Linked DNA regions of Caenorhabditis elegans. The protein of the gene in region 2 interacts with the protein of the main gene of each other region in a biochemical or structural test. Each region holds a gene or a part of one and is shown on either strand. Other genes may lie near its edges.

Region 1 (5,575 bases), on a different chromosome or scaffold from region 2:
CCAGCGGTATATAATCGATTTTACCCGACTTTGTTATAAATCGCCAAATTCGGCTAAAACACCCTTTATGATTGAGCTTCATGCACTTCAGACAGTTGAGTTTTTTCTACATGGTTACATAATCACTCCTACCACACAACAATAATTGTATATCCCCTGTTGGTCTGGCAAAAAACAATGTATTCAACTTTAGCACATTTATCAATTGAGAAAATTTTGTATTTCTCTTTTTGTTGTTTTCACTTTTCAAATTAACATCGATATACACTGTTATAATAGACTAATAGAGTTGCAAGAGAAATATAAAATGTTTTGATAGCCAATCATAGTCTGAACATAAAAATACATTTTCAAATCTCGAAGGATCAATTACAACATGCACGTGGATAATAATCTTTCTTAATTCATTCTGGATCCTGGAAACCAAAACCATAATCTTCATTACATAATCATCACCTCATTTCCATTCGCCGAAAGTTATGCACAGGACTCATAATCTCCCGGCTGGTCCGACCAGAAAATTACGTCATGAATCCAATGGCCACTTGAGTAACTTTTGCGGCTCTTTCATGTTAACTTAGGCTGAGAGCAGGTGAAGAGATTCGGGAACATATTTCAGCATGTTTCAGGTATTTCTTTCAGATTTCAGATAGGTAATTTATTTTAGCGTTGTTGTTATTCCGAACTAAACATTGAAATTTCTGCACTTCTTTATTGTAATGATGCTTCTGTGTCTGACTTGGCATTTTCAAAAATAATGGAATGGTGGAGAATTGACAGCGCAGACCATTGTTAAGACTATGACTGTGCAGTTTATTTGCACAGCACTGTCTGGCACACTCTCTTCATATCACATGGACTCTCTCTTGCTCACCCTTTGACACGGATTAGGTTAGAGGCATACCAGTGGGAGTCAGAGTGCTCAGAAAAGTAGTTGCCATCGTGGTAAGAGTTCTGAAAAGCATCGAAGGTTTTTTAGGGACCAAGGAAATATGAATGGAGCATGTAAAAATACTTGTAAAACTGTAAAAAATAACTCAGCCCAAAACTGAGGGAACCGTACTTTCTGAAAGAAATATGTATGAATACCGATGTTTTTAGGTTCAATCAAACAATTTATTCGGATTTTTCACGAAATATTACAGAGAGTGTGACGTTACATAATAATGTTCACTGTTTGACGCAGTCACGAGCTTCCAAACAATTTTATATTATCGAGACGCAAAGATTCACAATTTTCGCGCCAGAATAGCACAACCTGGTCTCGACATGACAAGTTTTAGTTAAATGCGAAAAGATGTGCGCCTTTAAAGAGTACTGTAACTTCGAATTTTTCTTGTTGCGGAATTTGTGAATTTTCATCGCTTTCTCATTGTATTTCGAATGAAAAATTGGCTTTTTTGACAAACTTAGACACAAAAATAATGCTCATTAAATTTTAACAAATCGAGGAAAAAAAATATTGTGAAATGTGAAAAATTCCGCAGAAATGAGACGCTTTCCGGTGGCAACTTTCCCACAATTTTTCACTGATAGAATGTAAATTTTTGAATTAATATCACTTTCAGAAGTTTTTATACATTATTTTCTCCTTATAAAGTTTGTGTGAATCACATTTTCGGCCGAAAAAACCGGTTTTCCATGGAATGCATGCTTCCGATGCTTTTCGCTTTTATTGGCGGATGGTTACGCAACCTCACCGATTTTATCTCTATTTTCCGCACTTTTCTTCTCTATTTCCAAAATTTTCAGCCTAGTTTATTTTTGAAATTTCAGCAAAATAATTAATTTCCTCACAAAACTGGCGAAAGGGCTTTTCGTTTCTCTGCCGTCTCTCTTTTCGCACGCTCTATAAGCAAGTGTCCGTGAAGCGCACTTGCACCCGTTTATTTTCACAACACGTTTTCAGATAATTTTAGCTATTTTTCATTGATTTTCAGTAGTTTTTACAGCTATTATAATGGTATTTTTTAGTAATTTCCAGTATAAATCCGATGGTATTTGACGAAGAACCTCCAGCACAGAAGAAATGGACCCAGGTTGCGAAATTTTGCTTATAAAACTATAAAATTCGATATTTTTATCTTTCAGCAAGCTACGACGTCTGCGTTCGGTCTAATGGAGTCGCTGAAGGGTCAAGGATCGAGTTTGGCGAAAAATTTGAAGAATTTCGGGAAGTCTCTGGTGAAAGAGCACAAAAGTCAAGGAGCCACGACGCCGGTGAGGTTTTCGGCTGAAATTTGGTCAATTTTTAGCAAAGTTTACATTTTTTTAAAGCAATAATTGTTTTAAATTCAGCCCGAGCACCGCGATGACGATATCCGCCTCACGTGGCTCACTAATCGGATTGTGCTCGCCGACACGTTGCACAAATCGAAAGAAGGACTGCTCAAAGCAGAAACGGCCGTCGTTCGAGAAATGATTGATTGTCAACCGTATGTAGTGGTTAATGTTCATGCTGAGTAAGTTTAGAAAACTCGAAAATGTTCACAAAAAATAATTTCTAATAAATTCAGACCACTGAAGCTGGATGGCTATGCAAAATCAGTTCATGTTCCGTTGGGAAGTGCGGCAAAAGGTGGACTTCCGAAATATCCAACAATTCAGGCATTAGTACCGGTAATTTCTCTATTAAAAATATATATTTAAAATAATTTTCAATAAATTTCAGATTCTCAACGAGTATTGCTTGCTAACTAATGACGCGGCAATTGTGATTTTTGGAAATGATGGTACTATTTTTGATTTTTTAAATTAGAATTCTATATTTAAAGCTCAATTTTTTTCAGAAAACGTTCAAATAACCGCTGCCTTCTGCCTTATCGCTTCTCGTACCATCTCAAGAGTCTCCGAGTTTATGTCGGATTCACTTCCGAATCGATTTGATCGCCTTCCAGTTACATATCATTTATTTTTGGAACAAACTAAACACGTCTGTAAATATCACGCACGGCGGCAGGTAATTGTTATTTTTAAAAAAGGAAATCAAAAAAAGAATGGGAGATTTTCAATTCAGAGAAAAGCACACATTTTAAGCAAAAACTGAGGAAAAAAACCGAAATAAATAGCTTTTTCAATAAAAATTATCAAAAAACGGATTTTATCAAAAAACGGATTTTACCAAAAAATTTAAAATTACCAAAAAATTGTATGTTTCACAGAAAATATCGGAATTTTTTTGTATTCGACTAAAATTCTTGATTTTGAACCAAATCGAAAAAAGACATTTATAACACTCAAAAAAAAAACAAGAAAAGCTGTTAAAATTGTGCTTTTCGCGGCGAGACTCATCCGAACTCATCCGTTCGCCTTTAAGTAGGAATTTTGAAAAATTCGGAATAACAATAGCTAATTCGCACATTTTAAGTAAAAACTGAGATTAAAATGGCCAAAAATTAGATGGAAATTATCAAATATTTAGCGTAGTCAGTCTATGTTGGAGAAAAAAGCAAAAATTTTCAAAAAATTATAACAAAAGAAAAAAAGAGTCTAATTTTGATTTCAGATTTTAGCAAAATTTGCATTTTTTTTTCGAAATGTTGACCAGCCATAAAAAAATTTTGAAAAAAGCAAAATACCCAAAAACTCTACTCCCCTTTAATTAAAGAATACAAACTTTTAAAGAAAAAAAAGTATCATATACACATTTTTCAAATTTCAGCGAAACTCGAAAAAAATTTAGTATAAAAATCATAATTTTCAGCAACTACAATCCGGCGCAATATTAAATCAAATAATCCTGGAACCCGGAACTCTCCTAATCGACGGAGATCTCTACGTTGCAATTCAGCAAGGTATAAATCAACTGAAAGTTGTGGAATTCTCAGCAAACTCCTGCCGAAATCGACAAGGACAACTCGTTTTCAATATGGAATCCACTGAAACAGTTGACGATGTGGTTATTTTCTTGGGAAAGAAGTCCGATGTGGTAGGTTGGCCCCCTGGGGACATGGAAATTGCAAAATGTGACAAATTTCTGCAGAATTTTGCTAAAAGTTCTAGAAACGTCTATGGCGTTATGTTAAACGTAATCTTTCTAGAAACCAAAGTTATTGTTCATGAATTCTTTCACTAGGAATGTTTTAGAGAAATGGTTTAAACCAGGGGTGGGCGGCAAACGATATTGTCCGGTAAATCGGCAAATTGCCGGAATTGAAACTTCTGTCAAATCGGCGAAGTTCCGGAATTGAAAACTTTTGGCAAATCGGCAATTTGCCGGAATTGAAAATTTCCGGCAAACCGACAAATTGCCAAATTTGTCAACAAAAAATTGCCGAATGGCAATTGCCGTCCACACATGTTTTAAACAATACATTTTGCATTCAAATTAGTGCAAAAATTGATATTTTCCTTCAATGGCAAAGTGAACGGGGTCCACTTGAATACCCAGGGTCTTACTTTTTCCAGAAAGCCCGCCGCTGTCTCTACGTGTTTTCGTCATTGCTCTTTTTGTTTGAGCTTGCTGTTTTGCTTTCTTCAAGACCTAAAGTTTTCTTGAATTCAACCAAAAGCATGTGTGGTTTTTAGTTTTTCCGGTTCAATACCAATACTACCCACCTGTTTTTCAGTGAAAAACCAGCACATTTACCTCAATTAATAATGATTAATCCGAAAACCGGTCCAATACAACACCTGCAGTAGTAGCCAACCGGCCATCTTCCCTAGTAACGGGAAACCTTTCACATCCGACTGACCTACTACTCTCCCCGTGCCGTGTACTATGTCTGTTTACCTATTCGAAATGAGATTCTTCGTCTGTCCGTTTTCCCGCCGCCTCATTTGGATGAAAGAATATGACTGAACAATAACTAAATGAGAAAGCATTCGACTGAGAAAGAGACCACGACGGCTTATTGTTGTACCCAGAACCCCATTATGGATAGCTTAGAGGGTTCACAGGTTTATGTGGATTTTCCGGCACATTTCTTCTTTCAATAGCTCTATTTGGTGTCATATCCTCTACTCGAAGGCTTTTCTTCTGTTTTTGACATTTTTTTAAAAGAGATTTTGGTAATTCCCTTACCGTAATTTTTACATACGGCACCAATCATGGTGGGTAGCAAACGATTTTTCCGGCAAATCGACCAATTGACGGAATGAAAAATTTCCTGCAAATCTGCAAATGGCCAATTTGCCGGAAAATCGGAATTGACGAAAATTGTTGGCAAATTGTGATTTTCCTTTTTTGTTTTGAAAGTTGTACGAATCCTATAAATGCTCCTACATCAATTTTGGAAAATGAGGCAAATTCTATAAAAATACCTTTAAAATAACGAAAAAAAAATTCAAAAAGGCACAGCTTTAAGTGTTTCCGTCTTATAAAATCCCTCTAAACATTCCGGCAAACCGGCAAATTGTCGGAATTGAATTTTGCCGATTTGCCGATTGTCGACAAGATAAAAATTGCCGAATGGCAATTGCCGCCCACCCCTGGTTTCACTGCGCCGAATTTGGAAACTATCAATATTTGGCAAAACACTTGATAAATGAAATTTAAAAAAACAACAAACAAATTTTCCCGACATGTCCTTTTCTTTTGAACGCTTGCAAATTCGTTATCTCTAAAAACGTGCAT
Region 2 (8,492 bases):
AGTGGTGCATGTGGTTGCTGTGGTTGCCGAGCAAAAGCAAAGGCGAGAGCTGCAAAACGAGTTAGTGGAGATTTGGTTCAAGAGTTTGATGGAAAGGATGATGGAAATATTTTTGGACTCAAAGTCTGGAATGATACGAAAACTCCAATCACTGAAAAGAGCATTCAGTTGTTGACAGTAAGTTTGTTTCTGTACATTTGGTAGATCATGGGGATTTTACTGTAAAAAAGTCAAACTTTTAAATATATTTCATATCAATTTTCAGAATCCTAACCACTTGTTCCATGTATGCTGTGAGGAACGACAGTTGCCTCCCGCATGTGTTCAGAAATGCCATTTTAATGTTTATAACAAAGGAGTGGTAGGTTTAAATAGGTCAAGTTTATATTGTGAAATTGAATTTCAAAAATTGTATAGCTGGAATCAATGTTCTTTGGTTCAAGTGAATGCCCGATTGAATTCCTGCCAGAAATGCAATTTTGTGCGGCTCAAGGAAAAGATCATAGCCAGGTAAAAGGTCGTTGAAATCTGCTCAATAACTTCTTACTAGTTTCAGTGTTGCTCACAAAGTCAGGTGGATGCAACGACGGCTGGAAGTAAATGTCTAACCTTCTGCGATCAAACACCCGATCTCTACACTCCAATTGATTACAGCTATGCGCCTTGCCTAGACAGGTTTCCATATCTTTTTATCTTCCAATTCTCGAGGCAAAAGTCATGTTGAATTAAATTGGTTGCAGGTTCGAGGACATGAAACGATGCTTCTATGATAATGTGAAGTCGGATGCAATCACACATTTCGAGGCGAAAAAGAGTTTGCAGGATAAGAGTACATCTTATTAATTGTTTTTGATTTTATATTTACTTAACTTGAGATTTCGAAATAAAATGTGCGATTTCGCAATACCCATCACGACATACTTTGTATTTCATTTTCCATTAAAGCGGAACTATTACACATTTGCGAATTTCTGTGGCAATTGCATAAAAAAACCGGTACCGGGTCTCGACACGAAAGATTCTCTTAAATGCAAAAAGTGTGATCTTCGGTCCGTGGAGTACTGTAACTTCCAGCAGGGCTAATACAAGAGAATTTGAACAGAAAACAATACATAACATTTTTATTCAAAAATGCCAAAAAATTATAATACAATTCAATTTTGAAAACAGTTTTTCGTTGTATTTTGGACCAAAAAAATCGGTTTTTTTTTGCGCAACGTTGTTGGATTCTCAACGTGTTTTATCTCAGTTTTTCCTTGAATTTCGGTAAAACAGAACAAAAAATGAAATGTTCAAAAAAAGTGTTCCAAACTACAGTACTCCTTAAAGGCGCGCACACTTTTAAATCAAAGAAAATTGGTCGTGTCGAGACCCCGTACTGTATTTTTTGTGTAAAACTCGAAAAATTTCCGTGTATGAGTGATCTACTGATTGAAATTGAGAAAACAAAGTTTATCCGCAGATCAAATTTGTTTTTTTTTTCTTTTCAATATTTCACGGCAATCATTTCTTAATCCAAACACGTAATTCACTGTCGTAATTGCTGATGACTCATTCATTTCATACGAACGCTTTTCTTTTGTCAATCCTTCGGCCGTACAAACATAAATTTTTCCTTGTGAAATTAAAAACTCCGCCCAAAGCGAAGAAAATTCCCAGAAGAAATTCGGCGGAAAAGCGCGCTCTACCGAGAAGCGGGGCGCGTCGCGTCGCGTGCCCTGTGATGACAGGGCGACTTGTTCAAGCTTGGCAAACAGGAATCATTTCTCTCGATCAACTGGCTTCTGCATGTTTGACAAAGCTCTCTCTTGATAAGACATTTCCGTTCAATTGTTTTATTTTTACGTTTTCCCTCTTTTTAGGTGCGCTATGAGTCCTCAAAAATTTTTCTTTACTCAGCAAAGAGTTCTAACTTTTGGAATTACAATTTTTCCTTCATTTCAAATCATTCACAGTAATAACAGCGGCCAAAGCTAGCTTTAAAGCTGTATATTTTTCCATTTATTCCTTCAATCTACCGATATTCACTTCTATTTCCCGGAAATGTCTCACTTTTGTGATAAATTTTACGTGACTCATCTTTTTATTTTTATCGTGTTCTCTTTTCTTTTTTTTTCAAACATCTCCATTTGCAGGTATATAATTTATTGTAAGAAGTTTTTCCATTCTACACACAGTTTTCAAAGATGGCGCTCCCAATCAAATTTCACGAGCACCTGCAGCTTCCGAATGCTGGAATTCGGGTGCCCAACATTACATTCTCCAATGTCACAATGGAATCTGATAAGAACATTGTTGTTCGTGAGATGGTAGGTCAAATAATCGCAATTAACTGTTCTAAACGGATAATTTCCAGATTGGTGATCAACAACAGGTTGTGATTATTGATTTGGCCGACACAGCGAATCCAACTCGTCGTCCAATTTCTGCTGACTCAGTAATCATGCACCCAACTGCCAAAATTCTTGCTTTGAAATGTTAGTTTTCAGTACCATTTGACTCTGAAGCTTATTTATACCTTTTTTCAGCTGGCAAGACACTTCAAATTTTCAATATTGAGTTGAAAGCAAAAGTGAAAGCTCATCAGAATGTAGAAGATGTAGTTTATTGGAAGTGGATCAGTGAGAAAACGATTGCACTCGTTTCCGACACAGCCGTCTATCATTGGTCGATCGAGGGTGATGCAGCTCCAGTCAAGATGTTCGATAGACATCAGTCGTTGGCCGGAACTCAAATCATAAATTATCGCGCTGATGCCGAAAACAAGTGGCTCGTTCTTATTGGAATTTCCGCAAAAGACTCCCGTGTCGTTGGAAGTATGCAATTGTACAGTACCGAGAGAAAAGTATCGCAGCCAATCGAAGGCCATGCCGCTTGCTTCGTTCGATTCAAGGTAGGACTAATTCGATGATGGATTTGTCATATTAATAATGTTTTAGGTCGATGGAAACCAAAACCCATCTAACTTATTCTGTTTTTCCGTCAAAACCGATAATGGAGGAAAATTGCACGTTATTGAAGTAGGAACCCCAGCTGCTGGAAACACTCCTTTCCAAAAGAAGAATGTTGATGTTCCATATACCGCTGACACAGCTGGCGATTTTCCAGTGTCTATGCAGGTATGTTGCTTATAGTCGTATAAACAAAATTTGATATCTTTCTGATTGATTGTTTATAATTTCAAAAGCTGAATGGTGTTGTTTATAAAATAAATTGTTGGTTTTCAGGTATCTGCGAAGCAAGGAATTATTTACCTGGTAACAAAGCAAGGATATGTTCATCTTTATGATGTCGAGTCTGGAACACGGATTTATTCGAATCGAATTTCGACTGATACCGTATTTGTGACCTGTGAATACACAGCTACAGGAGGAATAATGGGAATTAACAGAAAGGGACAAGTTCTTTCCGTCTCTATCGATGAAGCTAACTTGGTTCCGTTCGTTACGAACCAGCTGCAAAATCCAGATTTGGCTTTGAAGTTGGCCGTGCGTTGTGATCTGCCTGGAGCTGAAGAGTTGTTCGTTCGCAAATTCAACTTGTTGTTCAGCAACGGACAGTTTGGAGAATCAGCCAAGGTTGCTGCATCGGCTCCACAAGGAATTTTGAGAACACCAGCCACCATTCAAAAGTTCCAGCAGTGCCCGTCTACTGGTCCAGGACCATCTCCACTTCTTCAATATTTCGGAATTCTTCTCGATCAAGGAAAGTTGAATAAATACGAAACACTCGAGCTGTGTCGTCCGGTCTTGGCACAAGGAAGAAAGGAGTTGATAACGAAGTGGCTCAATGATCAGAAGTTGGAGTGTTGTGAAGAATTGGGAGATCTCATTAAGCCGCACGATGTGAATACTGCTCTTTCAGTCTATTTGCGTGGAAATGTCCCGCACAAGGTTGTTCAATCTTTTGCTGAAACTGGACAATTCGACAAGATCGTAATGTATGCCAAGCGTGTCGGATTCCAACCAGACTATTTGTTCCAACTTCGTCAAATTCTCCGTAATTCGAATCCTGATCATGGAGCAAAATTCGCTCAACTTCTTGTCTCTGAGAGCGAAAACGGAGAACCACTTGCTGATCTTTCACAGGTAACGAATGAGAATAAGGATTTGGCTAATTTAAACCTTTTCAGATCATTGACTGTTTCATGGAGGTTCAAGCTGTTCAACCATGCACTTCATTCCTTCTCGAAGTTTTGAAGGGTGATAAGCCGGAGGAAGGACATCTGCAAACGAGACTTCTTGAAATGAATCTGCTCGCTGCCCCAGCTGTTGCCGATGCTATTCTAGCCAACAAGATGTTCTCTCACTACGATCGTGCCGCTATCGGACAACTCTGCGAAAAGGCTGGACTTCTTCAAAGAGCTCTCGAACACTTCACTGACCTCTACGACATTAAGCGAACTGTTGTTCACACCCATCTTCTCAAGCCTGATGTGAGTTTCTAATTAGATTTCTAAAATAAATGCTAATTTATTTTCAGTGGCTCGTTGGATATTTCGGAAGCCTTTCTGTTGAAGATTCGGTCGAATGCTTGAAAGCCATGCTCACTCAGAATATCCGACAGAACCTCCAAGTCGTTGTGCAGATTGCATCCAAGTATCATGAACAGCTCGGAGCTGACAAGCTGATTGAGATGTTCGAAAATCACAAGTCATACGAAGGTCTTTTCTACTTCCTTGGTTCGATTGTCAACTTCAGCCAGGACCCAGAAGTTCACTTCAAGTACATTCAAGCTGCCACGCGCACAGGGCAAATTAAAGAGGTTGAGCGTATCTGTAGAGAGTCGCAATGTTATGATGCCGAACGTGTCAAGAATTTCCTTAAGGAAGCCAAGCTCAACGATCAACTTCCTTTGATCATTGTCTGCGATCGTCATAACATGGTTCATGATCTTGTTCTTTACCTGTACAGAAACCAGCTCCAGAAGTACATTGAAGTCTTTGTTCAAAAGGTTAATGCCGCCCGTCTTCCGATCGTTGTTGGTGCTCTTCTAGATGTTGATTGTAGTGAAGATGCTATCAAACAATTGATCATTAACACTCGTGGAAAGTTTGACATTGATGAGCTTGTCGAGGAAGTTGAGAAACGCAATCGTTTGAAGCTTTTGAATCACTGGCTTGAATCGAAAATCCAGGAGGGAGCGACTGATGCTGCTACCCACAATGCGATGGCCAAGATTTACATAGATTCTAACAACAATCCCGAACGATTCTTGAAGGAAAATCCCTACTACGATAGCAAAGTTGTTGGAAAGTACTGCGAAAAGCGTGATCCTCACTACGCCTTCTTGTCATACGAACGCGGACAGTGCGACGCTGAATTGATCAACGTGTGCAACGAGAATTCACTATTCAAGAATCTTGCAAGATATTTGGTGAAGAGAAGAGACTTCACTCTGTGGGAGCAAGTTCTCAACGAAGAGAATGTTCATCGTAGACAGCTGATAGATCAAGTGGTTCAAACTGCTCTTTCCGAAACTCAAGATCCCGAAGACATCTCTGTGACTGTTAAGGCATTCATGGCTGCCGATTTGCCGAACGAACTTATTGAACTTTTGGAAAAGATTGTTCTCGATAACTCTGCATTCTCGGAGCACCGTAATCTTCAAAATCTGCTCATTTTGACTGCAATGAGAGTAAGTTAATTATTTTAGAAAACATATTCGATCAATCCACTTTCAGGCCGATAGAACTCGTGTGATGGAGTACATTCAAAAGCTTGACAACTATGATGCTCCAGATATTGCTAACATTGCTATAACTTCTGAACTCTACGAAGAAGCGTTTGCCATTTTCAAGAAATTCGATGTGAACTCAAGTGCCATCAATGTTCTTATCGAGAACGTGAACAATTTGGATCGTGCTTACGAATTTGCTGAAAAGTGCAACCAGTCAGATGTCTGGGCATCTTTAGCCAAGGCACAGCTCCAACAAAATTTGGTGAAGGAGGCTGTCGATTCGTTTATCAAGGCCGATGATCCAGGAGCGTACATGGAGGTTGTGAACAAATGTTCTCAAACGGAGCACTGGGAAGATCTTGTTCGTTACCTTCAAATGGCTCGCAAGAAGAGTCGTGAGTCATACATCGAAACGGAACTCGTTTTTGCTCTGGCCAAGACTGGTCGTCTCACTGAACTTGAAGAGTTTATCGCTGGACCAAATCACGCTCAAATCGGACAAATTGGAGATCGTTGCTTTGACAATGGAATGTTCGATTCCGCTAAGATCCTTTTCAACAATGTTTCCAACTTCGCCAAACTTTCCGTTACTCTTGTTCGTCTTGGAGAATATCAAGGAGCTGTCGATGCTGCACGCAAAGCCAACAGCACGAAGACATGGAAACAAGTGTGCTTCTCTTGTGTCGAGAATGGAGAGTTCCGGCTTGCCCAGATGTGTGGACTTCACATCGTTGTCCACGCTGATGAGCTTGAGGAATTGATCAACTTCTACCAAGATCGTGGACATTTCGAAGAGCTCATTGCTCTTCTCGAAGCTGCATTGGGTCTTGAACGGGCTCACATGGGAATGTTCACCGAACTCGCGATTTTGTACTCGAAGTATAAGCCAGAGAAGATGCGTGAGCATTTGGAATTGTTCTGGAGCCGTGTTAATATTCCAAAAGTTCTTCGTGCTGCCGAGCAGGCTCATCTTTGGTCCGAGTTGGTGTTCTTGTACGATAAATACGAAGAATATGATAACGCCGCACTGACAATGATGCAGCATCCAACTGAATCTTGGAGAGAGCAACATTTCAAGGAAGTCATCGCTAAAGTCGCTAATGTTGAGCTATACTACAAAGCAATGCAGTTCTACCTGGATTATAAGCCACTTCTCCTGAATGACCTTCTTACTGTGCTATCGCCTCGGTTGGATCATTCGCGCACAGTTTTGTTCTTCAATAAGCGTAAGTTTAAATTTCGTTTAGTTTTTAAACTTTTAATAACAATAATTTTCAGTGAAGCAAATCCCACTGGTCAAGCCTTACTTGAGACAAGTTCAAAACTTGAACAACAAGGCTATCAACGAGGCTTTGAATCAGTTGCTCATTGATGAGGAGGATCACGCCGGGCTTCGTTCTTCTATTGAGGCTCAAGACAACTTTGACAATATCACTTTGGCCCAACAACTTGAGAAGCACCCACTTGTGGAATTCAGAAGAATTTCCGCATACTTGTTCAAGGGAAACAACAGATGGAAGCAATCGATCGAGCTTTGCAAAAAAGACAAGCTGTACAAGGATGCCATGGAATACGCTGCAGAATCGAGAAACGGAGAACTCGCCGAAGAGCTCTTGTCATTCTTCCTGGATGAGAAACTTTATGATTGTTTTGCCGCCTCCCTTTACCATTGTTATGATCTCCTTCACCCCGATGTCATCATGGAGCTCGCTTGGAAGCATAAGATTATGGATTACGCCATGCCTTACATGATCCAAGTTATGAGAGATTATCAGACGAGACTTGAGAAGTTGGAGCGTTCTGAGCATGAGAGGAAAGAGGAGAAGGCTGAGCAGCAACAAAACAATGGAATGACCAGTGAGTTTTAACAAATATTTAGAATTTAAATTTATTTGATATTTTCAGTGGAACCACAACTTATGCTTACCTATGGTGCCCCTGCCCCACAAATGACTTATCCAGGAACAACTGGTGGCTATGGCGGACAGCCTGCTTACGGTCAACCTGGACAACCAGGATATAATGCCCCTGGATTTATGTAATTCGATAGTTTTATCCCCATTTTCTTACCCCCACCCCCTCACTTTCTCCCCGCATCAATAATTATATTGTAATTTATTGCTTGATGTCTATACACTTTTTTTGTTTAAATTATGATATTCTATTTCTATTTATTCCGTCCCCTATGAAATTGTGATGGTTGTATTCTAATCCGTGAACTTATCCTTAAGGTTGTTGGTCCGATGTGTCGTCTCTCTCAGTTCTGCCCGTTTTCAAAAAAAAGTTGATCACAACTCTTTTAAACCACCAGAACCATCATGAATAAATTAATTCGTTGTTACCAATCGCGTTCGAGTTTCGGATGAAATACTGGTTCAGTCCATCATCATAACATTTTAGTTTTACGATTTTAACTTTTTGTATTATTCACTAGCTGAATTTTTTAAATTGAGATCTAGAATAAGCCATTTTCAGGCCGTATAATGTCTACTAAGCCCGCCGCCGCGAAGACGAAGCCATCGTGTAGTGAAGGTGGTGATCTACGTGTTGAGACTGAAAATGGTTCGTAGATTAAAAAATTCCACCGCGAAGTTTTGTATAAATTTAATTATTTTGAAGGTGAAACATTCATCACAGCAACACAAAGAGCCGACGGAACTTGGAGAAAAGCGAGACGAGTGAAAGGAGGGTCAGTAATCTGGCGATACTGGGAATATAATACCGCTTGTCGATTTACGAAGAATTTTGTACTAGACGTGACAGAAATTTCGATTTTTCGGCTGTTTTTGCTGATTTTTAGGCGAAATTTTGAA

The links.
Region 1: the proteins of chc-1 (region 2) and dnj-25 form a complex in vitro, tested with the Caenorhabditis elegans proteins (one study listed by BioGRID).

Annotation. Positions count from the first base shown.
Region 1 is NC_003283.11:20,740,739-20,746,313, reverse strand, and holds the start of dnj-25 (J domain-containing protein), read left to right. Parts: upstream 1-1,967; 5' UTR 1,968-1,994; coding exon 1,995-2,039; intron 2,040-2,091; coding exon 2,092-2,220; intron 2,221-2,298; coding exon 2,299-2,462; intron 2,463-2,516; coding exon 2,517-2,619; intron 2,620-2,671; coding exon 2,672-2,732; intron 2,733-2,789; coding exon 2,790-2,959; intron 2,960-3,703; coding exon 3,704-3,928; intron 3,929-5,575.
Region 2 is NC_003281.10:10,201,686-10,210,177, forward strand, and holds chc-1 (putative clathrin heavy chain 1), read left to right. Parts: upstream 1-2,135; 5' UTR 2,136-2,186; coding exon 2,187-2,309; intron 2,310-2,356; coding exon 2,357-2,477; intron 2,478-2,528; coding exon 2,529-2,893; intron 2,894-2,939; coding exon 2,940-3,119; intron 3,120-3,227; coding exon 3,228-4,088; intron 4,089-4,132; coding exon 4,133-4,435; intron 4,436-4,482; coding exon 4,483-5,637; intron 5,638-5,683; coding exon 5,684-6,905; intron 6,906-6,957; coding exon 6,958-7,536; intron 7,537-7,584; coding exon 7,585-7,721; 3' UTR 7,722-8,019; downstream 8,020-8,492. Other genes in the region: dbd-12 (DB domain-containing protein), read left to right, coding at 1-177, 266-361, 418-510, 557-675, 741-843; T20G5.9 (Partner of Y14 and mago), read left to right, coding at 8,163-8,241, 8,299-8,368. UniProt on the Caenorhabditis elegans protein: Clathrin is the major protein of the polyhedral coat of coated pits and vesicles. May play a role in yolk protein clatherin-mediated endocytosis by oocytes during oogenesis.